2 linked regions of the Xenopus tropicalis genome follow. The protein of the gene in region 1 interacts with the protein of each later gene in a biochemical or structural test. Links are inferred from orthologs where the notes say so. Each region holds a gene or a part of one and is shown in the gene's direction. Other genes may lie near its edges.

The links.
Region 2: of the proteins of bmp1 (region 1) and chrd.1, one has a biochemical effect on the other in vitro, tested with the Homo sapiens proteins (3 studies listed by BioGRID and IntAct). The link is inferred for Xenopus tropicalis from reciprocal best matches to the Homo sapiens genes BMP1 and CHRD.

What each region holds. Positions count from the first base shown.
Region 1 is NC_030679.2:129,645,624-129,649,455, forward strand, and holds part of bmp1 (bone morphogenetic protein 1 precursor), read left to right. Parts: intron 1-3,261; coding exon 3,262-3,407; intron 3,408-3,832. UniProt on the Homo sapiens protein: Metalloprotease that plays key roles in regulating the formation of the extracellular matrix (ECM) via processing of various precursor proteins into mature functional enzymes or structural proteins.
Region 2 is NC_030681.2:99,630,400-99,633,569, forward strand, and holds the end of chrd.1 (chordin), read left to right. Parts: intron 1-66; coding exon 67-221; intron 222-532; coding exon 533-623; intron 624-1,515; coding exon 1,516-1,580; 3' UTR 1,581-2,389; downstream 2,390-3,170. UniProt on the Homo sapiens protein: Dorsalizing factor. Key developmental protein that dorsalizes early vertebrate embryonic tissues by binding to ventralizing TGF-beta family bone morphogenetic proteins (BMPs) and sequestering them in latent complexes.

The sequences.
Region 1 (3,832 bases):
TTTTTGGCTATGTCCAGCACAAGCCCTATACATTGAAACCATACTGAATAAGGAGTACACTGCCCCCTTTAAGAAAAAGTATTACCTTATAGCGCTTTTTCCCACTGAATGCTGGGAAATGCTTCATTCAGCAGTTATTGCAGTTGAAACGTAGCATTGATAGCCTTGCAAATTGTGGTATCCACTCCTCGTGTTTTTCCAGAAGGCATATTTGTTCTATAGACTGCAGCTAAACATTTCCACAAGCTATGACCTGTGCTGCTGCAGACATACCAACTTTTTGACATGCAATAACTTTTTAAAGGAGTCGTATTGCCTTTTTATAATTAAAATAGGAATATTTATGAATATTTACTACAATGAAAGTTGAAAAATATAGCTTTTTTTTTTTTTACCAAATCTGGGATCTGAACAAATAACCCCCCCCCCCTCCCCCGGGCTGCAGCAGAAAATTCTATAGGGCTCACGTACATAGGCAAGTACAGTGAGCAAAGTGCAATCGCCATGTTTTTTCCCAAATTTTGGTGTCATTGTGGCCGCAGTTCTGCTGTGCCTGCCGAATTATGTCAGATTGGCAAAATTACTGAAACTGCACACACTGTTGTAAACCACATGCAATTGCGTGTAACTCTGTGTTTGTCACATTAGTGATATCCATGATATCTTCAGGCACAAGTGTGCTACGCCTATGGACACTGGGTGTGAAGGGAACATTGGAGCTACTGCAAGGGTTGCCACCTCTGCCATCTTTTTTCACCGGGCATGGGGCAGGTGGTGACAAACACGGGGCGGAGAAGAGGTGGGAACATTGATGTCACAGGGTGGGGCTATGAAAACTGGGCTGTCCGGGTCAAAACCGGACTGGTGGCAACCCTAGCTACTGCCTGGTCAGGGGATGGTGGTAGGTCCAGGGTTTCCATGTGTCAACAGGCATCTGATTCAGAACAGAAGGCAGAAGGGACTAAAAGGCACCAAGTGCAACTATAGAGAATTGCAAGGAGAGCATTTAAATGCAAGTGGGGAAACACAACTGCGCTTGTGGATATAGATGAGCCCTAATGTGTTTGAAGTCCTTTTGTGCACTGCGTTCTGTATAAATATATATTTTGGTGATGCAGTACAACATCATTTCCTCCATTTATGTGGGTCCTGGACTTATTTGTATGCACTGGCTATTGTTCTTACAGGGATATCACATCTGGGCATAACCACAGGCAAAGGAATGTATTGTTTATGGTGGGAACAAGGAAGGCCCTCCATGCTGAATGCTATAACATCCTTTATGACTCAGCACCTAACCTAGTCTAGATCTCACATACCTACTTGTTTTTCTTTCCACTTTGCTCCACTTTCCACTCCAGTTTGATTCACTTTCCCACTAATGTATTTGTCTTGGGTTTCCTCCCATAACTTTCTTGAATTGGTTTTCATTTCCACTATATGTCGCTGTCCTATTTCCTGTTCCTAAGATTCTGCAGCACATCCTGCCTTTCCCCCAACAGTTTCCAAAGATTTTAAATTAGTGGTTCCAAAGCTTTTTTTTTCCAGTGCAAACAAAAAGAAAGGACACAGAATAGTGGTGGGAGACTTGACTTGCATTACCCCCAGATATTTCACCCCCAGCTTTAGCAGGGGAAAGCATAATGTTGCATTACTAGGCTAATGCCACACTGGGCATACACAAGCAGTCTTGCTTCAAATTCGGTGCCTGCATCCGATCAGATTTTTTAAGCACAGGGGCGGATTCTCGCCCTGCAGAGAAATGCAGAATCAGCTTTACATGACTTTACTACAACTACTACTAATAAATTTAGAATGGAACCTTTTTTTACACATGACCAAGAAGGTTAGACTTCTTAATCTACTTGTCCTTGAGTTACCATTTTGAACTTCTTCACAACAACTTCTGACTTTGATTGTGTTCTATAGGAACCACTAAACATTGGGTTTGGCACTGTTGTTCTTAATATGTATGTAATGTTAAACAAGCCCAAACCATATGAGAAAGGGTGGCCGCTGGAATCATGCATGCCTAACTGACTAACAGGCTGTAAAACCATTATGATTAACCTAACAGGGGTCAATGGTTGGCAGTTGAACTAAGGATATCCCTAAAATGATCCCATTATTTCCATGTACCCTGTCTAGTATGGTGAGTCATGATAGCACTTACTGCATGCTGTGGATGAAGGGAATAAATATGTCATTACTAGAGAAAGCATACACTGGAGAATAGCTTATGTGGCTATGAGGAAAAAAAATGGGAGTCCTTAGAGGGTGATTCAGTGAGATGTAAATTAACCCAACAGAACCTGATGGTTACAGGAAAATTGAAAATATGCTGGTAAACAAAATAAACATCAAACAATATTTGGATATTTAGAAATGTCAAGGAGGTTGGGCCTCTTGGCTTCCAGAATACCTGTAGTCTTTGTTATACAATTTAAGCACCGAGAGCTTTCTTAAAACAGAAGGTATCCCTATGCCCCATGCTACACACATGGCACTGTCTAAAAAAGCCAAACCGAGAGGGTTTAAACGTAAGGAATTATGGGCAGAGACGTGCAAATGACTCCTTATGGTCCCCATGGATACATGGCCACAAGAACATTAAGGAGTAATTTGCATGTCTTCACCCACAATTGTGTAAGTGAAGGTTAAAGCCTTTCATTTTTGGTTTTAAGGTAGTGCTATGTGTATAGCAAGAGGCATTTAAATGCCTTCTGTTTTAAGAAGGTACATGTCTCACCCTAACCAGTATGGTTTATTTGCTTATTTAATGAATTCATGAGATGCTGGAGCATTCCTTGTGAAAGTCAGACATGCTGGTGAAGCAGGAACCCAGAAATGTAGCATGCTTTCACTTAAAACACACCATAAACTTACAGTCTGCATTGGCATTCACATCTGAAGCAAAACTTGGCCTGTAAAAGTTCCAAGTCTTTGCCTGCCCTCTGATTGACTACAGTAGTGGCTTTATTACAGAATGAGAAATCAGAGTCCTCAAGGACCTCGGAGAAGGTTTGGCAAAGACTGCTACTAATTTAATGTTCTCCTTGTGATGAGGCCTGAAATTAAGCATTTGTGCAGAGTTTCATCTCTGCCTGGTCCCAAGACTTCTAAAGTGCATCACCTGCTTCTACGGCTTTGCATTACCCCCATTATTATTTATACCCCAACACACTTGACTTCCTGAACATTTTAACTAGATCCAATTTGTCCAACCTTGTCTTAAGTATCTGAACGTTCTCACTTTTGCAGCACTGTGTGGAGGAGACGTAAAGAAAGACTCTGGTCACATCCAGTCCCCAAATTACCCAGACGATTACAGACCCAACAAGGCCTGCGTGTGGAAGCTGAGTGTGTCTGACGGGTTCCATGTCGGAGTCTCATTCCAGTCCTTTGAGGTCAGTACCATGGGATAGAGCTATAATAATGACTATAATGAAGAAGAGATTATGCTTTCTGGGTGGGTGGATAATATAACTGTAGTAGGGGAGCATATGTTTAAGTACTGTTCTCTCAAAGCTGTTTTTTAAATGGAATTTTCCAGGTAGTGTATACATAAAAAATCAAATCCCCATTTAAGCATATTATCTACGTCAGGGTACACGGATATACACACTACTCATCCAAAACTTGTTTTTTTAACTACACTGTTGGGGCATTGGGCATATATGTGCCACCTGTCTAATATGTTTGTTCTTCCTTGCTTGGACTGCTGCTTCACTTCTCCCTGCACTACACAGACATAGGCACGATGCAGCAGCTGCTGTACAAATTTTTAAAAAATATATTATATAGCAGAATAGGTCTCCGATCACACTGGCCC
Region 2 (3,170 bases), on another chromosome or scaffold:
AATTATGAATGTGCAGTGTAGATTCATGTAATGGCATGTAACAGCTTTAATTGTTCTCTTTTGCAGTAGAGGAGCGAAGTCCTTTGGAGCTGGCAGACAGTATGCAGTCAGATGGACCGCGATCATGCAAATTTGGGCGTCACTGGTACCCTAATAATGAGCGCTGGCATCCAACTGTGACACCCTTTGGAGAGATGAAGTGTGTTACATGTGCTTGTGTGGTAAGTTGAAAGCTGGAGAGGAAATACATAATTGGGTTAAAAGAAGGCAAAAGCCCTCTAATGGAAAATATAGAATAACTACTTTAACAGTGGGAGAGAAATGTTGCTGGTGGAGAATTATTTATGGCAACAGGGAGAGGCCCAGGTAGAAACTTTATAGAAGGAAGACAGAAAGAGCTTTGGTGAGAATGAGGAGAGCTTAAACAATTTAAAAAAGGCATTGAAATGGTGCAGTGAAGCATAAATAGTGCAAATGAAAAAGACTCTTTTAGAAGTGTGTCTGAAATATAATATGTGATATGTATTCACAGGAGGGAGTTACACAGTGTCGGAGACAGGAGTGTACAGGAAATACATGTGGTACTGGTTCAAAGCGGGACAGATGTTGCACCAAGTGCAAAGGTAAGTTTACTTCAGCCCCTCACTATAAAATAAAGTATTGCAGTATACTAGTTTGAGCGATACTGCAGTACTCTTGTTAATTCTTCCCCCCCACCCTGTCTTTATCTCTTCTAGTCCAAACCTTGTGTAGCCAACATCTGGATTATATTTTTATGGTAGTGACTTATTTTTGCTGGCAATGTTGCAATTGTCACTATTAGTATTGTTAATTATTGTTATACCATTTGACAGTGTGAGAATGTTTGCCATTTGCTATGGCATATCACCTGCATCTTGTGCCAGATGTGATGTAACTGATGGAAAGGCTAATTTAGTAATACTTGTCATAAGCCATAGGCATTTTAAAATGGCACCGATTAACATACAATACAGACTTCCTCCTGGTCCCAAGGTCTGTTTTTGATTGTATCAGTAAATGCATTTTAAGATTTAAATCCATTTTAACAAGCCAAAATGTGGCTTAGTGCTTGTATCATATGAAATCGGTGTTCCAATCTTTACTGAGCACATGTGTCAGAGCTTTGGTTTAGGTTAGGTTTGCCACGTGGGCAGCATATTTACATGCTAGCAAATTCTGTCACAGCATCCCAGTACATTGTGGGTCTCTGCTTTATTGTGAGAATGCATTTTGCATTATTTTGGCTTTAGCAGTTGCTGTAGATTTTCTTACCTTTAATATATGTTTCTTACAGTGCCCTAGTAAACATGTGTTATGTCCGAATAAAAGTGTTTATGCAGAACATGCCATCAGTACCCCCATACACTGTAAATTGTATCTGTTACAGATGGGCAAAAGTAATTATATGCACACATGTGTACCTTGTGCTACTTTTATGTCACATTGCCTTGTTATTTTATGTCCACTAACTTAGCCTTTGTGATTCTCTTAAAGATGCCAAGCAAGATGAAGATGAAAAGGTGAAATCAGAGGAGACAAGGACTCCGTGGAGTTTCTAGAACGGAGTGCAACTGGGGCAATGGGACTGATTATCAAGGCTCATACAGGCAAGCCCCCAAGCCAAAACAACTGCCAGGACTCATGGATGGTCTGCACAATGTTTTGTCCCACTCTGATGACACTGCTACTGGATTATCTCCTTTTGTTTCATTTGCTGCCATGAAGCAGTGGGATTCTAGAGGCAGCATTTGGAACTAAAATACCTTGCCACCTTGGATTCATCCTTTCAAACACCCAGTCTGTCTTTCTGACAGAAGCAACTCTAAATCCTGCCTAAACAGGACCTGGAGTTTTAACGTCTGATCTGTAGAGTTATGCAACAGGAGCACAGGCACAGCATAGGTAGCTGTGCATATGTAGATATATTGACTAAAAGTGCCCTGTGGCTTTCTGCAGGACGGGAAGAAAAGTACAAGTGACAGACAAAGATTACAGTGTGCTTGCTGGAAAGTCTGTATATATGTCTGCGTGTGTGAATGTGTGAACGCATGATGTTACTTTGAGGGTGTATGAACAGACATATATCATTTCCTATTGTCCAAGCACACTCTTTGAGGAACTTTGTCTTGTATTATTTATGGTATTTTGAGTGGGTGCGGTACCTGTACTAATTAACTATTAATGATGGTCATATTTATTGAACTAAAATAAACTGAAGAAATTTTCCCAGTAATTGTTTTTCTATATTTTATTGGACATGGATAGAGAAGAAGGAAGTGTATATAAGAGGGAACTGGTAGGGGGGATGTCCTGAGTAATGCAAAGTCGTTCATTAATGGGCACATTCTACATTAAATGGCCAATATCCTGTCTGTGTTTTTAATTCATAAATTAAGAGGGATGCTGCAAATTCAGGATTCAGTTTAGGATTTGACCAAATCCTTAAAATATTTGCAGTATTTGGAAAAATATTTACGGTTTGGATTTAGTTCAGTTGAATGCTTAAAGTCATGTGACTTTAAAGCTCTGAACAACTGAATAAAATTATTTTTTGTTCACAGATGAAGCAATTTTTTTTATTAATTTCAAATGTGAATATGCAAATTAGGCTTTGGATTCAGTTTGATATTCAGCCTTTTTTAAGTATTTGGTATTCTGGTGTTTTCTCTGAATGTGAACATTTTAGATGAATTATTTTTTCCTGTTTTGAGCCATAGAAACTGTCTTATTTGTGCAGTGATGAATTTTCTCAAATCATTTTAAGATCAGATGAGAATAAGACTAGACATGGTGATTTTCCAAAATCTAGTCCAATGAGGTAGCCTGTTAGAAGAGGGAATATATTTGAAATATTAGTGAAGACGGAAATGAAGAAGTGATTTAAGACACTTTACGAGCATAAGTACTAAACTCACAACTACTGCTAAAGTGGTAATTGCACTATGGCTTTTGCAGTACAGGTGTGTATGGCAGAAAGATGCCCAATTAACATTGTTATCAACAAGTCACCCCAAATAATGATAAAAATAATAAAAACATTGTACTGGGGGAAGCATATTATAGCAGGCAACCCCATGTTTAGAGTGAAATGCAACAGACAGGGCAACATGTAAAGAGTATGACCAGATGTGATCCCATGCCCTGGGATC